3 separate regions of the Mus musculus genome follow, and regions 1 and 3 are each reported to be linked to region 2. Evidence: microRNA targets listed by miRTarBase, many of them from high-throughput screens and not tested one by one. Region 2 holds a microRNA gene; each other region holds the end of a gene's coding sequence.

Region 1 (3,000 bases), not on the chromosome of region 2:
AGGTCCTGAGTTCAAATCCCAGCAACCACATGGTGGCTCACAACCACCTGTAATGGGATCCAATGCCCTCTTCTGGTGTGCCTGAAGCAACTGTGTGTGTGTGTGTGTGTAGCAAATGAAAAAAAAAAAAAAAAAAAAAGAATGTTCTTCAGGTTTACATCTGTTCCTGGTCTTCCAGACAGAGTTCAGAGTGGATACTGAAGAATCCAAACAAAGGTGGTAGGATTTTAAAACTTCATCTGTGTCTGTGTCTAACACCTACAAGCCTTAAATACAATTAAATCAGCCAGGGATCTTTGTGATCCACCACCACCACCACCACCCCAGTTCTGGGAATAAAATTCAGGACTTCATGCATGCTAGACAGGCTCTGCCATTAAACCATATGCTCAGCTTGACATTTTTAGCTCTTTAAAAGGTATCCAGACAGGGGTATGTGAACATCTGTTCTTATGTCTTTCTTTACTGAAAGGTTACCTACAGATATAAGAAAATTCTCTGATGTTGTAATGCTGAGTTCAAGGGAATTTGATAAATGTACAGAGTATAATCACCTTTGTCACCTCAGCCACAGAACAGGTAACACCTTAGTGCCCCACCTGCAGCCGCTGACTGCTTCCCTGGTGAAGTCTTCACAGGTGACATTGGACAGCAGGCACTTTTCTGACATCTTCCTGATGCCTTGCACACTAGCATTTCTCAGGCAGTACTCCTTTCTGTTGCTGAGTTTTAATGTCTGCATAAGTCACAAACTGTTTATCCATTTACCTGCTAATCTGCACTTGAGTTTTTAATTTTAACTATTTTTAGTAAAATGGCTAAGAAAATAAAATGAAAAAATGGATCTCTCTCTTGGGTAAAATATCTAGTAATAAAGAACTACTACTATACCGAGAAATATTTGTACTAAGTTATCACAATAAAGGAAACAAATACTTTTCTTATGTTATAATAAAATTTATTAGCTGAATCTATGTAAGACATGTTGAAGAATCTGTAGATTTTCTTACCCTAAAAGTGGCAAACACAATCACATACATCCAACATATTCCAGGATAATATTTAAATATTGTTCTTTACAAATTCAATATATTATAAATCAAGTAACATAGCGCAGTCAGACTATTATTTAGACAAGTAAACCACACATTAAGAAATCGGCTGCATATGTAGCAGAAGATGACCTAGTCGGCCATCATTGGGAAGAGAGGCCCCTTGGTCTTGCAAACTTTATATGCCCCAGTACGGGGGAACGCCAGGGCCAAGAAGTGGGAGTGGGTGGGTAGGGGAGTGGGGGGGGGGTATGGGGGACTTTTGGGAAAGCATTTGAAATGTAAATAAAGAAAATACCTAATTTTTAAAAAAAAAGAAAGAAAAAGAAATCTGCTGTGACTTTTAAAAGAAAAGATAAAAGTTGAAGAATCTCTAATTTAAAAAGTAACACAATTTCTATTGGCCCATTTTTTAAATAAAAAATATAAAATGCCCAGGTTAGACTCCATTCTCTTTAATTAAAGAGAAAAAAAATGTGTTTCATTTGTCCTTAGGCTAATCTCCCATATCTAAGTCTCTAAAATATAAAACTTTTAAGTATCAGAATCCAGGGATATAAGCTTTCACTTTCAAAATTACATAGAATCCTAATGTTAGCTAATTATGATCTCACAAAAACCTTACCACTGAAGATATCACTTATTTAAATAATAATAATGCCATCTGCAGTTGTAAACTAGGTCATCATTATATAATACAAAAACTGACTAAAGAAAATTTCCAGAGCTCTTAAATAGCTATCTTTAAAAAAAAAATGAGTATTTTTTTATAATATTCTGGAATATAGAGAAAGATACATGAAAATTACGTCAAAGAAACTTCAAAAGCAACAAAGAAAAACATGTTTCTTCAAATTGCTTTCTTTCTTTCTTCCTTTCTTTCTTTTTTTCGTTTTTTTTTTTGGGGGGGGGGGTTGGTTCTTTTTCAAGACAGGGTTTCTCTGTGTAGCCCTGGCTGGACTAGAACTCCCTTTGTAGAATAGCCTGGCCTCAAAATCACAGAGATCCACCAGCCTCTGCTTCCTGAATACTGAGATTAAAGGCAAACATCACCACGGACTGGCTTCAAATTGCATTCCAAAGTTCCCAAGAAGGGCATCCTGACTGAACTAATGAAGATAAAATGTATTCCCTGATAAACTTCTGTAGCAAAAACTAAAACTTCAAGCAACATATAAAATGAAGAGTTTCCTGGTACCTATCATAGTATTTACATTCCCTTATCTCAAAGACCTGGAAACACAATGTCAAACTGACTGGTCACAGAAAATTATTCTAAAAGTACAAATGGATGTCACAGACAAGGAATCTGACAGTTTGACATCCCCACCCACCTCTGAGCCACCTCCTCCCACAGCACTGGAAAAGATCAAAACCGCCTGCCACAGACGGGGTGCCCAGGGTGAAGAAGGCGGGGACAGTAAGGCACGGAAGACACTGCCTGCCACACAGTGGCCACAGTGCACGAAGACACCACCTGTGTCCACCAGGCCCTGGAGCAAGGCTCTGTCTGATGCATCAGTGCACCCAGTCCTTTGGATGGCGCAACACTTCCAGAATTTCAGCTTCTTTGGAATTCTCTGGGGGAGAATGCATGTACTCCCATCTACGCATGTCCAAAACGAAACAAAAAAAAAAGCAAACAAAATAACAATAAATGACATACATAACTAATGGAGAATAAAACCCTAAGAGTAAAAACAATGCATAGTTCCTCCACCCCACTGTGACTACTGTGTCTCTACTATATATATATAAAAAAATCAGCTACTTAAGAGAGTAAATTTCTTAATAAGTCTTAGGAATATCTGGGTTAATACTAAGATCCTTTCATTACAAACTTGGGTTTCATAAAGTATAGAGCCTTGGGTAGTACACAGGTAGCTTAAGTTTTACACTACAAATGTATCTTTCTAGAAAGAAGGCTGTGAGGAAAGGCCAGACTCAG
Region 2 (4,386 bases):
GAAATGTCAGCCTGGGGGTGTAGTCCTAAAAAGCCTGAATTGTATAAATTTTAACAGGAGGGCATCACCTACACCACTGTAGTTTAGATGACAATGGTGAAGGACTATCAAAAAACACAGTATGTGTGGTTTAAGAAAGGGGGTAGGTCAGTGGGACCTGGTACTTAGTTGTGTATGTATGGCTCCAGAATTTTCTGCAGCCCGACCTTACACCAAGAACTCATGATGCTGGACAGTATGGAGGGAGTGTTGGGCTGAGGGTGTTTTTTAGCAGGGGTATTGGTGGTGATGGAATCTGACACCCAACAAGGTATCTAATGGGGTAGCATTTTTGTGTACTGTGGTAGGTTATCTCTGTCCTTCCTCACCTTCTAAGGCATCTCTCATTAGCTTTAAGAAAGACCCACAGGCCTATATCTGTACAGAATATGGAAGATGGGTCTTCTGTTCCAAGAGAGGAACTGTGGGAAGAACTGAGAGATGGAAGAGATTCACCAGCCAGACATGCAGGAAATCAGATATACTGAGTATGAGGTTATGGGACACGTGGCAAATGTGAATTAGAATAAAAGGGTTAATGAAGTTATACAAGGTTGTTGTGGGGTAGCAAGATAAGGTTTAGGGACAATAAATAAACGTAAGTCATCATGTTATTATTCAGGAGCTGGTGGGTCAAGACATTCCTGTCATAGTTCTTTGAAGTTGTTCAGGAAATAACAGTGAGTATAGTCTGGGGGTTGGGTTGCCACAGGCCTGATATATAACAGTGCCTGTGGAGTGTCATCAAAGAGGGGGAGGCTATTTAACAAGACCCATTATGTCTCTAGCAGTGCCTGCAGAAAGGGGAGGACAGAGAGCATGGTACCTAGAAGTTTATGTGCTGGAGAGCTGTGTAACAGTACTCAATAGCCAGCTTCTTTGTGGATTGCAGGGGTGCCCAGCTGGCCTTGCTATGATTTCTGTTCATCCACAGTAAATGCCACATGTGCTGCTGTGTAACAGGCTTTCCAGGATGCCCTCCCAGGGGTACTGTTTCATTACACTGGAAGGGTCTGTGCCTTGGAGGCCTATGATCTAAAAGTGGGTATGTGGCTCTGACATGGAGGTGTCTGTCAGAGTTTGTTGAACCACTAGGCTGCTGGCTGCCCCCAGTGATGTGTATAACAGGGCCTGATTTATAGCACATTATGGGGCATGGATGTATAATACAGTGTACACAGCTACATTTGGGCAGGGCATATCAGGGCCAGATTATTTAGTGTGCAGGCAAAGAGCAGTTTTGCCGCTAATGATCTAGAAGTGGGAAAGGGGTTTAGGAGTGGCAGGATGGGGTAGTTAGCTGTTTTCCCTAAATAAGCTGTTCTATACAGATTGGGTCTGTTGTCTCTTTTAGCAACCACCAAATATCCGGGATAGCGTCTGTTGCATTTCTTCTGTAGTCCCCAAATATCAGACTTCCTGGATATGTGAGATCAGTTTAGGGAGTCAGCTTTCTTGGAGGTCCAATTAAGAATTACATATCTTTCTTTTCACTAGGGAGGGAGGAATGAAGCTAGCCTCTCCTTTCCCCTAATATGCAGCGAGACCAGACATAGTGAAAGGGGAGTTTGGGAGTGAGAGCTGGCCTGGCTGAATCATTCTATCATACATGTGACTTGGGAAAAAGCATTCTTGTACTAGGTTGTTGACTAGTGTCTAACAAACTACAGGGAGCCATTGACAAGTGGCGGGTACTTTCCTCGGGAGCATGGCAGGGAGGGGAGCCTGCAGAGAGGTTTTTTAGTTGGGGATGCATGAAGAGCATCCACTAGACACTGCTCTTAGCTGTTCTGGGAAATGTGATGGCACAAATAGCTGTTACAGCAGGCTATGCACTTATCCAAATGCTGATTATTCTTAGCTCCTAGGTAGTGTCAAGGCTACATCTTCAGTTCCCCTGCAAGCCCAATGTTTCCTTAAGTGTCCTGGGAGAAGGAGAGGCATCAACTTGCCTGATCCTCATCTTCATGAGTACAGGCATGGGAAGTCCAGCTGGGAGGCTGCAGTGGACCCAGGCTAAAAGCCAAGCTTTTCTGCACTGCAGTGGATGCCTGCTGTAAGCTGTGTCCTCCTGGGCTGCATGGAGCCCTACTCTAAACCAAACCCTCATGGGCTGCAGTGGAGACCTCGTGCAAGCTGTGCGGCCCTGGGTTTCACAGGTGTCCCTGCTGGATCCTCCTCCACCGTGAACTGAGCCTAGGATAGCCTAAGGAGAGAGTTTGCTCTCCAGTCTCAGAGGGACCAACGTCTGCCAATGAGAACAGGAAGAGCATACATTCATGGGGAGAAGATGTCAGTGGGCAATGTTGTCTTCCCTCCCTCTTCATGGACTTCCCGAATTTATCAGAGTTCCTCCGGAGCCAGGAAGTAGAGCACACCCTGGATTATTACACCTAGACATTTAGTAACATTTTCCTGACCCACCTCTTTTGTAAATACACTTGTGCTCTTATGAACAAAGGTATGGCCTCTGTAAGTTCATTGTCAATGATGTAGACATCTGTCTTCATGAAGTGAAATATGAAGAAGAGACTTGAAGTGTACTCATGAAGGGAGCACTTTGCCTCTGGTCACACTTATCCTCGGGGAGTCCAGTTTGTCCTTTGGATCTGAAATTTATCATAGCTCTGGGGGAACTCCAGCTCTCTGTCCTGGATTGGCCAGGAGCCCAAAGTCAAGTCTTGGTCAAGAACCTGGTCTTCCTAACTTTGCTACATTTATCAAAAATAACCACTTCCAGAACAGGACTCAACCCAGGTCTCATAAATTTCAACTCTCCTGTAGGAGATTCATCTCACTCCTGACTTCATGGTGTACTAATGTGGCTGTGGATTCCAAACCAGCATATAGTGCTGCCAATCCCAGGGGCACAAGAGTTCTGCTTACCATGGCAGCAGGAGGCTCTGCTCTTACATGTTGCAATACTCTGGTATACAACATCCAGGTAGGTCTGCTTCTAGCTCCATCTCTCCTGGTCTAACTGAGGTTCCTGTACAGTCACAAAGAGATTATACGCCACCCGCCCCTCAATTAAAGGGAAAGACAGGAAAACTCAGGTCTCCCACTAATTCCCTCTTTCCAACACAAGACACATTGGAGGCATAATATCTGCTCTGACAGAAGTCACTCTGAAACTGTGATGGTCTGGGGTCCCCATACTCAGAGCACCAGGCTAAGAACCAGGTCTGTTAGAGAGCCTTTCCTTAGAATCCATAGTCTCCAATTTTCCTGGGAAGGAATTCTATATATGCATCTTGCTGAGTTCCTAAAATAAGGGGTACACCTATTGAAAGCAGAGTTGGACTTCATGTTTGACCCCAGGCATATAAGCAGTTATCAGCAAATTCTGGGGACAAAGTGACAGCTGCTGCTGCTTTTGATAGTGTATACAAATTATCTCCACTCTTTGTCCAGACCTAAGTATCATGCAGAAAGTTATGCCAGCCTGAAGGGTGCTCCAGTTGCATCCAAGAACAGGAATGAAATGTATATTGCTCCTTCCTGGTTACTATCATTGTATCTTGGGATCTTTAAATGTATGGTGTGTGTGTGTGTGTGTGTGTGTGTGTGTGTGTGTGTGTGTGTGTGTGTGTATGTGAGTGCAGTGACACTGGTGATAATGATTTCTGGACATATTTGTCCCTTCAAGTGTAGTTTTGTTCTTCCTCCTCCTGTTCTTCATCTCCTTGTCATTATCCTCCTCTTCATACTCCTTTTTCCTTTTTTTCTTCTCCTTCTTTGAGATTTTACTACATCCTTCTGGGCAGAAAGGGGCTACAACAGTTAGAGTGACACTAGCCAAAGATGGCAGTGCGATTTAGATCTGGTGACACAATAAGAATGCAAGTAAGGCAAAACAGGATTAAAAAAAATTAAAAGAAAACTCAGGAAAAAACTTTAGGTATACTGGTGAAAGAGTAGGGTAAGTTTGAAGCAACCTATCAGAAATGATTATTTCTGTGACATCATTTCTCCAGGGAGCACCTGGGTGCCCTCACCTTGAGCATCATGCATGACATACAGTCCACTCAAGTGGCAGAAGAGGTGTTGAGGGGAATCCTAGGGCAGCTGGTCACTCAGATAAGTTGAGGACTTTCCAGGTGCATAGGCAAATAACACTGGTTGACATCATGATTCTCTGCATCCTCTTCAGGCTCCATTGCCACACCCACACCCTTGGAGTGTGCATGATGTGTCCAATAGCTTGGCCGTAGTCCTGAGACACAAAGTTTCACAGAAACTGGACTCCTGGGGAGTCTTTGTCATTCCATAACAGGGATGTGGTCCAGATATGTCCTGGCCATAGTCGGTGATTGGCTTATTGTACTTTCTTTCAGTACTGTTTTA
Region 3 (3,000 bases), not on the chromosome of region 2:
CGGCCACCAACAACCTGATGCACTACTCGTCTTTTGAAGTGGGCGGTCCCGCACCTGCGGCGGCTGCAGCTGCGGCGGCTGCCGTGCCCTACCTAGGGGTCAACATGGCCCCATTGAGCTCCCTACACTGCCAGTCCTATTACCAATCCCTGTCAGCAGCTGCTGCTGCCCACCAGGGTGTGTGGGGGTCCCCATTGCTGCCGGCGCCCCCCACAGGCCTGGCACCTGCCTCCGCTGCCCTGAACAGTAAAACCACGAGCATTGAAAACCTTCGCCTCCGGGCCAAGCAGCACGCCGCATCCCTGGGACTCGATACACTCCCCAATTGACTGTCTGGCTTCTAACCCAACCATGGTCTTGGGTGTACCCCTGTCTCGGTCCCATGGTTATTCTCAGAAGGCTCTCCAAGTTCTCCTAGAACTAACTTTGAGAGCCCAGGGATGCTGGGGCCTGGAGTCCTTTCACCTTGTCTCCCTTATTCAAAGTCCCAATCCCAAGTGAAACCCACACACCCTCTGCATGGCCCTGCTTGGACCCCATGGAGGTCAAATGGGGAGGAGGGGAGCAACTGGCTACACCCCCTCTTCAGTATTGCCTCCTCCCTCCTGCTCCCCCCCCCCCCGTTAGTAAGTTGAAGTGTGGAATGTGAGATATAAATATAAATATATAAAACTATATTTTCAGGCACTGCCTGCCCCAGGCCCCCTTTCCCTGTTCTCACATCGCCACTACCCTTGCCCCTGAGATTCACTCCAGCAGATTCTCTCTCTCTCTCTCTCTCTCTCTCTCTCTCTCTCTCTCTCTCATCCTCCTTTTTCTCCTGATCCCCCCTCCCCTGCAGCCCCACTGCCTCTGTCTTGATCCCTGTCCCTCTACCTACCCTTGGCCTTTGGTGCTGGCTTTATTATTGTCCAGTATTCTCAAACAGTGTTTCTTTTGGGGGTTGTAGGTTTTTTTTTTGTTTTTGTTTTTGTTGTTGTTTTTTGTTTTGGTTTTAGTCATTTTGTTTCTTCCTGTTTCTCTTCTGCTCCGCTTGGCTATCTCCTCCCTTAACCTGAACTCTCTCTAGGCAACTCTTCCATTCCATGCCCCAAGATTCATCAAAGTCCTACTTGGAGACCCAGGAGCAACAGGCAGGAGGTAGCTCTAACCCCACAGCATCTCCAGATATTAGGAGGGGCTCACAGTCACCTTTTCTTCTCTTTCTTTGCTTGGAAGTACCCGCTCCCAGATTGCAGAGGGGCAGCCGCAGTAGAACAGAGACCTCATTGCAGGGTTCTAGAATCCCTTCTCAGTGAGTGAACCCTTATGGCTACATACGGTCTCAGGACTTGGCTTCCTGTTGCAGAGGCCGGTGTGGGAGTAGGCGCTTCTGTCTCGTTAGTCACTGGCATGGCAGGGTGTGTTCTTCTATGTCTAGGCAACCCTGCTCTGTGGACGCCCTTTCAAGCTTGCTAGGACTGTCTTGTCTGGATAAGATGATTTAGAAGATTCTGTCCATTTCCAACCACCCAGTGTTCTATGCCACAACCTTGTATGGCAGAGGCTTTAATTAAGTTTAATAATAATAACTGCAGCATAAGCACTTAGAGAAGCCCAGTTTGTAAGTTAGAACATTACTGTTGTTTTGCTGAGGAACAGTGAGTCCTGCATACCTGAAGATCTCTGTGGATACTGCCTCTGTTTCCCAGTAAATGTAAATGGCTCCTTTTTAGGTTAGACAATCTGGATTTGATCCTATTTTTCTTGGATTCCAGTGTGAGCCTTGGGGGGGGGGGCTACTCCATTCCCCTGCCCATGGTGAGGGGTGGGCAAGATTACTTGAATAGATTCGTGGTTATGATTCCGCAACCCTTTGGCTCGCCACAGAACCCTCAACCCCACGCCCACACAGTGGTGGCCTGGCACGACTGGCCTACAGAGCCAATAGTGCTCACCTTAGTAATGTCAGTCTGGACTGGGGTAGGAGAAGGTTTTAGCCAGTAAAAAGTGAGACAGGAAAGCATGAAAGAAAGAAACAGGAGAAGTGAGCCACGGAACACAAGGTGACTGGCCTCGTGAGAGGTGAGGCAGAGAGCCTAGGACGCAGTCTCACATTCCCACTTTCACGCAGCAGCACCAAAGTCAGTTGAGGGTTTCTTAAGAAGGGGTATCTTCCTGGGTTCTAGAATCTGCGAACATCAGAGGAGGAGAGACTTGGACGGGGAGATGAGAGGTTAGCAAATCCTTAGGGAGATGAGGGGGTTCTGGGTTAGGGAGGGATCAGTGATCGATCCATGGTTACCCTATTGTGGTCAGCTTCAAGAAATTATGTTTCTGTATTGTCTCATCTGGAACCAGGCGCAGGGCTGAAACTGTCTTTCTATTCCTGGGTGCAAATGACTGATTGTCACTGGGACTTGGGATCTAACACTTCTGGGTATTACCATTTCCAGAAGCCTTCCCAACCTCCTAAAGAGCAAGGCCACCTGAGGTCATATCTGGTCATGACATGAGCCTGGTCTATCCCAGGCTTTTCTAAACTCTCTTAGATCTTTGTCATGTGTTCTCTCATGTGCTGACCCAAATCCCCAAGGCCAGAGAAGGGAGGGAAGACACACGTGGGTTTTATCTTCATGACCATGTCTTCTTAGGAGGATTAGAGGGCACGATTCTTTGAAGAAATTGTGGGTGAGCCCACCTTCCTGACACTGCTGATGGAATCTCTCTCAGGCCTGCTGGTCACTTAGGGCAGAGAGCCCAAGGATTAAACCCTTACAAGCCCTTCTAGGAAGAGTCCTGTATGTCTCTGCTCTGTTTGAGGTCTCCTTTGCCCTGCTTCCTCATTTCCCTAGAGCATGGTTCAGGGGCCTGGGTCCCCATTTCTATGCAGAGGCTGACTGGCTGTATAGACTGCTTTTCAAACCAGCTGTTTTGTGACCACTTGTGCTTAGAGGTTGTACAAAGCCTTGGCAAAAAACAAAACACCGTGTATTGTATTTATTTATTCTGTTAGTTGAT

The links. The annotated mature microRNA mmu-miR-683 reads CCUGCUGUAAGCUGUGUCCUC and lies in region 2 at 2,090-2,110, shown strand. An mRNA with a match to its seed (bases 2 to 7 or 8) in the 3' UTR can be bound and repressed. Matches are read on the target gene's strand: a 7mer-m8 pairs with bases 2 to 8, a 7mer-A1 pairs with bases 2 to 7 and ends in A, and an 8mer does both.
Region 1: miRTarBase lists Cpox as a target of mmu-miR-683. Seed matches in the 3' UTR shown: 8mer at 1,383-1,390.
Region 3: miRTarBase lists Dmbx1 as a target of mmu-miR-683. Seed matches in the 3' UTR shown: 7mer-A1 at 754-760.

Annotation. Positions count from the first base shown.
Region 1 is chr16:58,678,328-58,681,327 of GRCm38, reverse strand. Cpox (coproporphyrinogen oxidase) reads right to left here. Exons shown (of 7, transcript NM_007757.2): 7 at 937-2,658. The coding sequence ends at 2,571. Among named protein-coding and RNA genes, the nearest start is that of Cpox, 9.6 kb to the right of the region's middle.
Region 2 is chr13:50,598,714-50,603,099 of GRCm38, reverse strand. Mir683-2 (microRNA 683-2) reads left to right here and starts at 2,020; the gene lies at 2,020-2,128.
Region 3 is chr4:115,915,280-115,918,279 of GRCm38, reverse strand. Dmbx1 (diencephalon/mesencephalon homeobox 1) reads left to right here. Exons shown (of 5, transcript NM_001025567.1): 5 at 1-3,000. The coding sequence ends at 329. Among named protein-coding and RNA genes, the nearest start is that of Dmbx1, 23 kb to the left of the region's middle.